Linked DNA regions of Mytilus edulis. The protein of the gene in region 1 purifies or fractionates together with the protein of each later gene. This does not show direct contact. Links are inferred from orthologs where the notes say so. Each region holds a gene or a part of one and is shown in the gene's direction. Other genes may lie near its edges.

Region 1 (6,928 bases):
ATCATCAACAATTTTATTTCACAATATATATGCATTAATCCAAATTCACATCCATTCGTACGGTCTCAATAGAAGAATTTCCCGCGGAAATGTCATGTGATATAAACATGGAATTGTTCACACCGATACACTAAATACGTAGAAAAAGAATTGTGGACACAGCAATAAGATCAGATTTAAGACCCTCATGAGCTCGGTGTTAACTAAAAAATAAGTAAAAATCAATTATTTAATAAATGTGCTCGATTAACCTTAATTTTTGAAGTTTAAAATTTGCGTCTATCGAGTGAACCTTTAGTCTTTGGTCTTTAGAAGTGTCAACTTGACACTATAATCTCTATCTGTAATTTAGATCACTCTGGTAATTTTATGTCGCTATTGTATAAAACTCATTAGTACATTTGTATTTATGATGTGGCACTGCAGAAAGAAAAAAAAATCCTTAGGGCGCACTACGTTTGCGCGCATTTGGGGATTAAATATTTACGTTATAAATAATTGAACAAATTAATAAATAATAAGTATTATGACCTGTATAATATTTTACCTGATTTTACCTGTCAAAAAATGCGCGCAAATGTAAGCAAAAGCTGCGCGCAAACGTAATGATTTTTGCGCGCAAATGTAATGGTAATGCACGCAAACGTAATGCACCGATTCCTTAAACGCCAACATAATTTTACAGGTAAATTGTCGGTAGATCAAAGGATGTTGGCTTTCAAGGGATAAACCGGCCTGTGTGTTTTTCTTGACTAATGTTTCTAATTAACTTTAAGTTTTCAGTGTTCAATATATGGTCTATCGTTTGCAGTTATGTGTCTTATCTGTACCCGGGTTTGTCTTTTTTTATTTATTGTCCTACTTTATGACTATAGTCTAAGTGTTGATTTTTGTTTGAAAATCTAGAAATTTTGTTTTAAGCTTGCGTTTATTATACCTTTCGTCTACTAGTTATTAAAAAAAAACTTCGAATCATTAAATTGTAAGAATATTTGAAATTAGCTATGGCATCAAATCATTTGGAAAAAAAACAATGTATTGCAATATGACCTTTTGCATTGAAGGATTAAACTTGCATTAAGTCGTGTGCAGACCCTTTATACGGTAATAAAAACTAAAGGAGTATTGAGTAAACTTGCATACGGGACTTAATCGAACACAAACCCAATACTAGTACATAGAAAAATACAAATTTTCAATGGTCATTTTTTTTTTCCTGTTCTTCATCTTGATAGTCGCTGGAGTGTCTTCAACATGAAAGAACCATTAATACCATAAAACAAAGCCAAGATGGTCCCTATATATATATACAGTGTCGACTTGAGCGGTACTTAAAGTAAATTACTTTAATACTTCACTGTCACAAGGACGTATATTGTTAGTTATACGTCCTTGACTGTCACTATATGAAAATGTTGTCCTAAAAAATCACCAAAGTCTAAACATAATACAAGACAAGAACAGACTGAATCGGTATTAATGATTTTGAGGAAAACGATTTTTGCCTTATCCTACATATCGGTCTTTTGAGTTTCTCCCTAAAACCTAAATATCTTAAATCATATTGATTCTATATAATTTGCTTTGAGACCAGAACATTGTTGAAAATAGCTAAAAATTAAATACTTTTCAGAGTAAGAAAGAGTCTGGGAAACGCTCAAAATGCACGATTTAGCTTCTTTTTTTTTTGGATCGAGCTTCTTGGGGCCTTGAACGAATATATTTTGCCTCACTTGTAAAAGAGTCTAGTGATGTTTGTATTTATCAAAGTTGTAGTAAAAATCAGGCCGAAGGTATACATTTTTTAATCATTTACATTTTTATAATTAGTATTCGTTATCATGTGATTTTGCTCGTTGTTGAAGGTCGGATAAAGGTTTTAAATCAAATTTTTATGGACTTTGATCCACTTTTTAACTTCCACCCTGACGTGCCATATAAGCTGTTGGTATGCTGTTGCACCTACCGCACGTAAACTTTCACAGTCATCGTCTTTTTTGAAATATTTTACCCAATTAATACGTGATAAGATTATTATCCTAGTAACCAATGTATTGAACATAAGTTCAAAAAATTCCTCAATACTATATTCATTTTGTTTGTCAATATTTTTTAGGCAAAACAAAACAAAACTGCAAAAAAATCGAACACAAGAGAGATTTTTTTTCTGCAAATGTCATGATTATCTGTCCATTTCTAGATCTATGCTTAGTATTTATTTCACTGAGATGACATGGCAGTTTTCACACCCTGGTGACCCTGCTGTTTTTCATTATTATATTCATATACATATAAAAATAAACAAAATGAAGGAAGCTGTGTAGGTCAAAATCTTATCATTTGCTGATAAATGTTGCTGGACCAAGTTTCGTGATCTAATATGAATTTTCTGAAAAATGCAAGGTAGATAGACATTGGCCTGTTGAATGTTTTACTCGGTAACTCACTCACTGATCCTCTTTGTGCCTGTCAGCACATAAGGCCTCAACCAGTACGGGTCACATTTGCCTGCCTTTTGCCTTCTTCTCGATCTCCTTCCATGTTTTCCCAAAGTGTTTCATCTCTGGTAAGTTTTGCTCTAGCTGCTTGAACGTTTGCGATAAAAACAAAAATTCGAACACACAGTGGTCATGTTTGTTGATTAATCTTGAAAATTCAATTGGTAAAATTTGGTCAAGTAATTTCAGAGAAGATCTTTTTTTTTTATAACGGACGCCAAGTCAATACATGAAGCTATAACTCACGCGGCCCCTCAACACAGGTGAGGTTATAGCGAAACGGGTTGATAACCAGTTGAAATTAAACCAGTTTTAGTAATAAAAGTTTGTACATTGGAATCGTTTTAAACTGTTATGGCCAAAAGTTTCAGAGACATTCTCTGTATTAAAGCATCAAAATGGGTTGGCCACGACTATCTGCAGACTTTATTCATTTTATGTATATTAGTTGACTGTTGTATGAAACTTTGAAAAATAAGTCTAGTTTTGTATAAATGTGTCCTTGGTTACCATAGCAACTACATCAACATTTGGTATAATTCAACTGGGTTAATGTTGAGAAAATTGCAATTTTACGTACTTATAGTCGCCGTCTGGATAGAAACAATTTGTATGATATTTAAAAGCACTTGATTATTTTAATTGTTCAATCATTTATGTTTAAAATGGTATAGTATAGTATTTCCGAATCAGTTATATTAGGAGGGAAACACACTATTTGGAGAAATGTTTTAAAATTTCAGAAAATTATAAGGGTTTTTTGAGGGAGTTAAATGATATAGAGAGGGGTGCTCATATTCGCCGGGGACACAATTTCGCCGTTTTATGATTTTGAGGTGCAAAAACTTCAAAGGATGGGTGAAATGGAAGAAATATGCCGGTAAATTATATCATTATAACAAATATTAGTATTTTTTAAACTAAGACAAAATTTCGGCACTTACAGAAAAGGACCGAAAAACAGACAACGATTTTCAGCCAATTTCCTGAATGAAAAAAAATATTTCAAAGAAGTATTTCCTAGTAATTCTTTGACTGATTGCCCTAAATATCAGTTCTTTACACATTTGAAATGTTTGCTATTTATCTATAATGAATTTGATTTGATAAATATTGTTTAAAGCTGCAGTTATTTGGTTTTAAATAGATGTGTAAAAATGGCGAATATGTGTCCCCCATTGACAAAATATCAGGCAATTTCAAACACCCTTTAATCTTACTTTAATGATGGTAGTAATATTGAAAATATTTAAATATTACTTCCATGTCAGCTCACATGTCAGTGTCTTCGACGTGGTATTTTAATCGTAGTCTGTTAGTGCTTGATTTCGTTTCGTAAAATATTGACTGATTCGATTGTTTAGGATTCGTTATATATATTCACCAATCGTAGACCTCCACTGCACTTTGTTATTGTTTTCATGTGTGTTTAAAAACAAACAGATGATGTGAAAAAATAAGACGTTAAAGAGTCATTTTGGTATGAACAATCGGTAATGATAAATTAAGAAAATGATGCGTTTGATGGCGAAAACGCAGTCAGTCCAATATGTACTCTGACTCAATTACACGATTGGTGACTGATGAAGTGTTATAAATTTGTGTATCCTCATGTTGTATGTAGATGATGACTTCGATAGTAACTGTACGCATAATTTTTTAAGGTCCGTCTACATTGCTTACAAACGACTGTTATACTTAGATCTGTAATAATTCACATTCTTGTTTACCTCAGACTCAAATGTGCAGGTTTGCATCCAGGATGTCAAGATAATTAAGATACAGACTTACTAGTCCAAATAATAATGACGTCTTGAAAGGTTTTTATAATTTTTTTCTTTGACGCCTTACTTCGAGACGTCAAAATTATTTGGACTACAGACTTACAGTACCTGGCCAAAAGTATTCGTCACCTGCTTTTAAAAAAAACGTAACATGGTCAAAAACACAATACGAGACAATATATTTCATGTAAGGGAACAGTCATTATTTATCAACTGAGGGGGTCGGTGCATTTTAGGGGGGGGTCATTGCCAAAAATATCATACCACTGGGGGGGTTACCATCAAAAAATATTTTAACTAGGGGGGTCACTCAATAAAGGTGCTTATGTCTGACTTGTATATAAATTGTTGACAAAATTGAAGTGAGTGTGCGATCTGTGAAATAATGTCTGTTTATTAAATCTTTGATAGTGTAAACTGTAAAGCACCATGCAGAAGAATATGCGTAATTTCTCAAGGGCAGTGAATCTGATCACTCCTTATCACAGTTGTGTAAATTTATAATCAATAAATTAACAACTCTATGAAACGTTTCTCCCTAGTTTTGACCACAGGAAACAGTGAGTTGGAAAGGTTTCTGGACATGCATACTTCACTTTCTATAGTCATGATAGTGTTTAACAAAAATCATTTTGATGTGATTCTTGAGATGAAATGGTGTGTACATATGATTATTTTGATGAAAGCAAGGATGCATGTTTAACTTAGTTATATGTCCGTCACGTGGTAATAGGTATACTTATTTTATGAAATTATTACAAAGATATCGATTAAGAATAAAATATGATCTCGATATTATAGGTATATCCCTTCTGTATTCTTTAATTTTTCAGGTAATAATTTTCTATTCGTTAAAGTCATATGAAACCTCAAATTAAAAAAAAATATGCATCTGTTTTTTATAACTAAATGGATAGTTTTCATTATAAAACTTTTGTACATATACTTTTTCTGAGGAAAATTCTTTAATTTGTCCACATTTAGAAGAAGTTTACTTATTTTAAATTGCTTGCTTCCAGGAAGCAATTCGCCGACATATTTTCCGTATGCATAGTGACCCGAGCGTAACCCTCCTCGTAAAAATCCGGTGATCGCAATACGCATGAATCTGTCATTAAAATAAACAATTATCTGATTGTACATCTTAAACACGTGCTCAATACCCATGCTTTTTGTTATTTATTTACTATAAGGTGACAATCCACTTCGGCTTCAAAACACGGCATTTAATGAGCAGCCATATTTGTTAAATCATAACAGACAGAGAGAAAAAAAAATTGACGATTATACGATATATTTGCGTAAATAATGATAAAATCGTGCACAGAGGACTTAGTTTATTTTTCACCACTCACTCGTTTCATATGACTTTAATTAGTATTTTTTGCCCTTTTCTCCTTTTATTCATATCTGAACACCAGTGTTCTCTGTTCTTTTTTTATTTTATTTTTTGGTCCATTTTTCTGTAAATTTTATCCATTCTCCGATATTCTTTCCTATCCAGATTTCAGACCTTAATAAAAAAAAAACTTGATGGGCACCATGGTATTCACACACACTAAACAATACACTATATAATTTGGAAAAAGAACAAATATAATTAGCTGGGGCCCCTAAACAAAAATGTGTACTTGTTCAGAGAAAATTGATAACACACTAAACTCTTAAAACATACATCTGTACAAAACAAAGAAAGCCCAGAGGTTCCTGGCTTGGTTGTATTATACAATTACTGTCTTTTGATGAGGTAAATATGCGGTTTTATTGACTTTTGAAAAATGATATTCACTAAGGCCGAAGGCCGAAGTGAATATCAGTTTTTCAAAAGTCAATTAAACCCCATATTTACCGAAACAAAAGACAGTAATTGTTTTATTCCATATTCCGAGAGAAGAACATGTATTTAAAGAATAACCTATACCAAAACAAATTTTACATGAAACATTTAACCGTAACGTTGCATGTAAAAGCGCGTGACGTTTAGCGCGGTGAATAACACTTTCTCGGGTGAATATGCTGTTTTATTCAAAATCCAATTCATATAGAGAAACCTACTAATATAATACCAATATGGAATAAATTTCTTTATCTCAAATAAATCATTTACATATTTAATCAAGAAAGGACAAGAACCATTTAATCGGTGTTATTTTATTTGCACTTCCTAAATCATTTGTACATTGGAATCCTGAACCCCCCCCCCCCCCCCCCCCCCCATTCATAACTAGCTATTTTAAAGTTCAAAGGTTAAAAAAAATAAGATACAAGGGCCTGTGATTGGGATTAAAATAACAGTCAGTATTGAAAGTTTATCTACCAGTATACTGATAAAATTTGTAGAATTATAGGTTGCAGTAAAATAAATTAATAAATTGGAACATACAATTTTCTGTATATTTTTTTTTCTATTTTTCTTCATGCACGTGTCAGATATTCCTTTTAAAAAAAAACAAGAAGAAAAGCTGTTTGTTATACTTAGAGCTTCTCAAAGCCAGGTTACTATGTAGCTGGTCATTATCTCCTCAACACAACTGTGAATTCTTTTTTTTATGGGGGATGGGGGGGGGGGTCAAACTTTTGAAATTATTTTCTTAGGGGGGGTCATTATGTGGTTTTATAAAATAATGGGGGGGTTACCAACATAAA
Region 2 (7,113 bases), on another chromosome or scaffold:
ACAATTCAAACAGGAAAACCAACGATCTAATTTATATATCATGTATATCCAAACGGGAAAATACCAATGAACAACATCAACAAACGATAACTGCTGAACGACAGGCCCCTCGATCAATCAGGACAGGTGCATAAACATGCAGCGGTTATGGATAGTTTTGTTTCGCCAGCATACAATATAATTGCAGTTGAAGGCAAATCCGTCAGAAGTTCTTTGTACTTTATTCTAACAACGAAATTTTTTTGATAGGGAATATAAGTAAGGGGGAAAGTAACCAATTTTTTGTTCTTTACAGGTATTTCTGCTCTTATAAATTTATTATGGAGCACTCCCGCTTTGGATAAATAGGTTTCATGCTGAAACAAATATTCATATGGACAAGATTACATTTCCAGATGCGGGAAGCGGGAATATAAAAAAAATAAAAAAATTCTGTTTTGAAAAAAATAGGTGCGGGCGGGTCCGTCGAACAAGGAATCAAATTGGTGTGGCCTAACCATCAACAATATGAAGTTTCTCATCGGCATAGCAATGGCTGTAAAATAATTTAAAAATGTTCATGAATTACAAATTAGCAATCCAGTAGGCAATATAGAAATGGTGTACTGACATGAGTTATCTAAACATATTAGCTCCAACTTGAGCTTTCATCAGTAGAATCTGATACACTTTACAAACTTGCTATCAGTTCATGACTTTTTCCTGATTTAATAATTAAGAATTGAATGCTTCTTTTTGTAAATTTATTGGGGTGTAAAAGCGTTGACGGAAGTACATTTTGTATGAAGCGCGGAGGCGCTTCATTCTAAAAATGTACGCACAGTCAATCCGCGCTTCATTCTAAAAATGTACGCACGGTCAACGCTTTTACAACCCTATAAAGTTACAAAAAGAAGCATTCAATACTTATAATTACATTTTTTAGCTATGATTATGAAAACACGAATTTTATATATTTTATTATTTAATTCACCTGTGCACTTTATTGTTGGAGCACATGTTATCATGAATGAAAAGTTGTATTGAGCATTGCAACTGCTTACGGAATAACACGTGATGTGCAGTTAGCCAATCAGAATAAAATATTATAATGAAACATACATCTAATGTAATTATTCAATTATATCTTCCTCCCTTTATAACAATAAAAACAAGAATGTGTCCTCAGTACACGAATGCCCCACTCGCACTATCATTTTCCATGTTCAGTGGACTGTGAAATTGGGGTAAAAACTCTAATTTGGCATTAAAATTAGAAAGATCATATCATAGGGGACATGTGTACTAAGTTTGAAGTCGATTGGACTTAAACTTCATCAAAAACTACCTTGACCAAAAACTTTAACCTGAAGCGGGACAGACGGACGGACGAACGGACAGACGCACAGACCAGAAAACATAATGCCCCTCTACTATCGTAGGTGGGGCATAAAAACCCATGGCAGAACCATTAGCTAAGTGTTACTGAATTAGGGGTATAGCCAAAACAACTGTGGCCAATAAGGCTGTGTGGCTGAAACCTCCTCTAGTAATTAACTGAATTAGGGGTATAGCCAAAACAACTGTGGCCAATAAGGCTGTGTGGCTGAAACCTCCTCTAGTAATTAACTGAATTAGGGGTATAGCCAAAACAACTGTGGCCAATAAGGCTGTGTGGCTGAAACCTCCTCTAGTAATTAACTGCATTTGAATATTAATTTTGTGCAAACAAACCCAGGAGGTGAATGTTTAAGGGAGCGAACAGACTTACGATAATTTAATCATTGTGACAAAATTTACAGAAAGTGCACAAATTTGAAAGTCTTCTTCAGTTTCAGAAAACCACAACACATACTGATGTTTGCTTTCCAGCACATGCCTGGTAAAAAAATCAAATTTGTGAATTTTTTGAAAATATATTTCATGCTTTTTTATGTGCATTCAGAAAAGGCCATTGATGTCAGACAACTTTGTTGAGATTCTTGAAGATTTGAAAACAGCTTTGGATAAAAATATGTATGTGGCAGCTTTTCTAATGGATCTTTCGAAAGCTTTTGACTGTTTACCACATGATATTCTTTTAAGTAAATTATCTGCCTATGGTCTTTCTTCTAAATCAGTGAAATTACTTCAAAATTATCTTACAGATCATAGGCAACAAATCAAACTTCAGGGAGTACTCAGCAGTTGGACTGACATCCAGAAACGGGTACCCCAAGGCTCAATCCTGGGGCCCTATTATTTAATATTTTTATAAATGACATATTCTATTTTATTGAACATGGTACCCTGTATAATTATGCCGATGATAATACTCTGTCATATGCTGACAACAATTTTGAAAATTTATTATGTACACTTGAAAGAGAAAATGCTGTTTTAATTGACTGGTTTAGATTTAATTGTATGCAGGCAAATCCTGATAAATTCCAAGCCATTGCAGTTGGAAATAAAACATTTGCAAAAAAGCCTGTTTTTAATATACAGTCAGCAAAAATATCCTGTAATGAGATTGTCAAACTTTCAGGTATTGATATTGACTATCAACTTAATTTTAATCACCACATTAAAAATATTTGTTGTAAAGCATCCCAACAACTGAATGTTTTAAAGCGCATTGGCTGCTAAATTACAAAATTGAATAAATTGACCATTTTCCACACATTTATTTTTTGTCCTTTGGCATGGCATTTTTGCAACAAAAATAACACCACCAAATTGGAAAAAATTCAGGAAAGGGCTTTACGATTTATATATGAAGACTATGTTCATATGATGGACTACTTTTACAAGCAAAGGTTCCATCACTGAAAATAAGACGTACAAATGTATGCGTAACATGGCTATTGAGTGTTTTAAAAGTTGTATTGAAAGATTGTAAATATAATTTTAGATATTCTAATATTGTAGATATACCTAGGGTCCGAACATCAACCTATGGTAAGAATTCTTTTAAATACACAGCTGCTGTTTTATGGAATGATCTACCTGATGATTTTAGAAAAATTGCTAATTTTAGTCAGTTCCAAAATATTTTGAAGTCATGGAAGGGAAATGACTGTAAGTACACAGTTTGTGCAGATCTGTCATCTACATGTAGATCATACCCTGTTTTAAATATTTTATGCTATACATTTTGCCAGCTTTTATGCCTAGTTTACACCTATATGCTTATAGCTTTAATACCTAGCTTATGCTTATATTCTGCTTTTAGTGCTTCATTTTTGTGCTGTGAAATTTATTGCATGTGTATTATGTGTTGTATTGTTATAGATGTTGTATTGTTAAAAATGTTTCATATGTCAGTTAAAAGCTCATTACAGCTTATTTTGTCTATGTTTCAACTTTGTATACCTTGCCAACTCTAAATAAATCTTATTTATTTATTTTTTATTATGTAATGCATTAAAACTAAATGGTTAATCATAGTTTGTCATAGTTTTGTTATGTTAAATATTTGTTATTTTATCAATTTTTACAATTTTTCTTTGTTTATTTAGTGCAAATACAGTGTCAATGAGTTAAATATTTTTCCTTTCAAGTATGTTCGCTATTCTCACGATGGTGTTACTGAGAAAGGAGGATTATAAACACATACAATCGAGCATCGAGTTCACTGAAATCGGTACTAATGTTTATTTTTTTTCTATCAGCAGCTGTATTTATAAATCGAAAAGTCCAACGATACTGGGTTTCCCATACCTCCATGGCCTGACCTAATTCTAGGTCAAACGTAACAACACAAGCACAATATAACCAATTTGAAAATCTGTCCCATGGTAACATAGTGGGTGACTGTGGGCCATCATCTGGCGATTTTTCTCGATGGAAAACAGGTTCTTCTTTCGTTCCTGCCATTTTCGGCAGGTGTCCTTCACCTTTATTGTTGTTAGTCTCGAATCAAAAATCAATTATTTTAAGTTCTTCTGTTTCATTAAAAAATTACTAAAAGACTAATAATTTATATTTATTTTGTATAACCTAGTATTAATAATTTACTTTTACAAAGATTATAAGAATAATATTCTTTAGAGATTAAATCACACTAAAATTTTAAGATGGCTGCAGTCTCCTGAAAGGAAAGAAGAAAATGAATGGTAAGATATCAGTTTATTTCGATATGTTTTAGTTGTTTTTAGAAATTTTAGATAGATAAATAATGAACATAGGTGAATAAATATTTAGTTTCAACATGATACATCTATTATTATTGTCTCGAACTGGTGAAATAAACCCTTACACGAAATGTTATGGTAAGGTGCTTCCCTATAACTCAGACTATTCAGTATAATTTCAATAACAAATATTTTCAGTTAGAATGACTAATAAACATGTTCCTAATGTATTCCTGTTTAGGTTTTGCTTGAATTATATAGAAAGATGTGATGGTATTACTGTCCAGAAATATTTTCTTTCTGGGAACTGAGGGAAGTGAATACTGTCTTTTTTGTCAACACCAAAATGTGTTGTTATTTAACTTCTTGCTGCTGAGTTTTTTTCTTGTTTTGTTGTTTAAAAAGCATCTTGACGTTTCACATCTGTGACGTTGCAAATCTTTTGCCTCTCTGTAGAACAGCGTTTCCCCGCAATTCATAATTTTTCCAGTGTCAATGTAGCAGTAATTATCCTGAAAATATTTTTTTAAATATGAAAAGTTAATTGAAAATTATTGCTCTAAGATTGTTATCAACGTATTTTTAATATGTCAACATCATTTAAAAATTCAACTTTTAACCTTGAGATATAATATTTTTTATCTTTCTTGTCTTAAAAAAAGAATGTAAACTAGCTTTATACACGCTTTTGTTTTAATTTTGTCTAGTGAAATGCTTAACTGATTGTAACCACCTCTGAAATACTAAATTATATTACCCTTGTGATCTGTTACCTTATTTGATATTGTTATGATTGATAAATACTGTGAAAAATCTTGAAATAGTTATATAAACAAACATTGGCACCCAATGAAAATAAAAATTAAAAACAATGTTTGTACAAATATGAGTAAATAAAACTCTGAGCAGCCGAACTTCTTCTTGTAGTAGAGTATCAAAAGGTTCGGATTAAAATTTTCAATCTACGCCTTGTTTTGGTAGGCTAGGCAAGAAATTTTATAAACATTATTATCCATATTCATTTAATTTGTTATTGAATCTGGTTTATTATTAATTTGTTGACCACTAATTGCCTAAAATTGTAGAGAAATGTTTGCAAAAATAATTAAAAAAAACCCCAGAAAAACGAGAAGAAATTCTCTAAAACTATTTTCTAATGTCTACATTGTATTGTACATTGAAATAAACTTGAATCAATGATAATTCTTTTTCATTTTCTAAGATGAAGTACACACTGTATAAATTACCATACACTTAAATCTTTAAAATCTGTTGATATTGTTTGATAACTTGTTTTCTTCTCAATACTCAGTGGCAAGTATTCCATGCAATATTAAGGACTTCTGAGAATAAATATACAATACATTAGTTGCTCAATTGGTCCTATACAGAAGAAGATAGAAGATTAACTATTACCGGTATAAGAATTAAAAAAAATGAAGTTTTCTCAGTTCAGGCTCTATTATATCTTGTATAATTTTAGGATAAAGGAAGAGGTTAGCATAAGTCAGCCATGTCTGCAGTGGCTATTTTGTCCTGTCAGCCAAATTCACATCCATTTCGTGAGCGACATATTTCGCTTCATGAACCAGTCAAGATTGGCAGATCTGTAGCAAGAGCTAGACCGGCAAACAACAATGGCATATTTGATTGCAAAGTTTTATCCAGAAATCATGCCATGCTTTGGTATGAGAATGGCACAGTAAGTATATATGTATATGATGTATTTGCAGTTCTTGTGTGCTTGGTTTACAAAACATGTGTTCATACACTGCATTCCCTTACTTGGTGTGAAAGGTATTTGATAATGCTTATATATTACCATCAGTATATAAACAATTGTACCCTCAGTAACATTCTTGTATGCATCATTATGCTAAGCCAATCTTTATCCATCTTTCTAGAGCTTGAAACTTTATTTAATGTGATGGTCATAAATTCATACATGGAATTCAAAAGTCCCACAATGGATTGAAGGTGTGTGTATGTACTGTAGTTGGTGTATAGATTACCGCTTACTGTAACCTTATATGACACAATACTTATGAAATAAACATGTATTAATTATGTAATATCAAATCAGAGGCACTAGGTTTAGGTTTTCTTGTGGTACCATTAAAAAGGCTTGTAGGCACTTAGTGGTATATACATACACCAAAATCTTCAAAATTAAATCAGTGACTTTGAAGGAACACCTATTTTAAAATTGTGTGGTCCTAGGTTTATGGTCAAGGTCCCTAGTAGTATAGAAATTCTTGCAAGCATTGCAGAGCATTCAATAGCGTCTTTTCTATTGTGTCCAATCGTTTTCAAACTTTTTTCAATTGAATACAAGCAAGCAGAATAGGATAGCGGTATGAAATGTACAGCTTGTAGGTTAAAGATCAATGTCAAATGATGATTCTTTGATCTTTCTAAAGCAGGTATAACATAATGATAATCATTTGATCTTGCGATGTCAAATTGTGTGAATCTAATATTATGTGAAATTGAATGACTTATAAATATTAATTGAATTGAATTGACTTATTAAAAGCTAAAAACAGAATTTTTAAATTGTTATTTCAGACTAAGATAAGAAAATACATGTACCTATCAAATTAAACTCTGGCTGCCACTCTTTAATATAACATAAATGTATGAATAGGAGAATACAAAATAGTGATAAGAGAATTACTGTATTTGTCAGTAAAGCCAATATCAGGCATACTGATTTATAAATTGGCCAATCAATACATACCAGAAATAACTAGCAATATTGGTTTAAAATTTGATATTTAATACAATTATGGTCAAATTAATATTGATATTGACAAAGTGTTTGCTTATGATGAATTATAATTATCCTGTATGTCCCATTTAATCTTTACATTTATAGTAACTTTCATTATTTTATTTTTTCCCAATAAATTGAGAAAGCTGTCCAATTGTAAAAAGACTTGATGCTGACAATTGCTGATTGTTGATTGTTTTCAATAATTAAAATAATAATATACACATTGTTAAGATAAAACTAATT

The links. Proteins that work in one complex are often made in the same cells at the same time.
Region 2: the proteins of ubiquitin thioesterase Zranb1-like (region 1) and sarcolemmal membrane-associated protein-like purify together in Homo sapiens (affinity purification with mass spectrometry; 3 studies listed by BioGRID and IntAct, with this or other methods). This does not show direct contact. The link is inferred for Mytilus edulis from reciprocal best matches to the Homo sapiens genes ZRANB1 and SLMAP.

Annotation. Positions count from the first base shown.
Region 1 is NC_092347.1:53,331,633-53,338,560, reverse strand, and holds the start of ubiquitin thioesterase Zranb1-like, read left to right. Parts: upstream 1-3,847; 5' UTR 3,848-3,978; exon of another isoform or gene 3,979-3,991; intron 3,992-6,928. UniProt on the Homo sapiens protein: Ubiquitin thioesterase, which specifically hydrolyzes 'Lys-29'-linked and 'Lys-33'-linked diubiquitin. Also cleaves 'Lys-63'-linked chains, but with 40-fold less efficiency compared to 'Lys-29'-linked ones.
Region 2 is NC_092344.1:98,980,822-98,987,934, reverse strand, and holds the start of sarcolemmal membrane-associated protein-like, read left to right. Parts: upstream 1-4,002; 5' UTR 4,003-4,076; intron 4,077-5,577; 5' UTR 5,578-5,607; coding exon 5,608-5,796; intron 5,797-7,113. Other genes in the region: protein DENND6A-like, read right to left, coding at 3,682-3,837. UniProt on the Homo sapiens protein: Associates with the striatin-interacting phosphatase and kinase (STRIPAK) core complex, forming the extended (SIKE1:SLMAP)STRIPAK complex.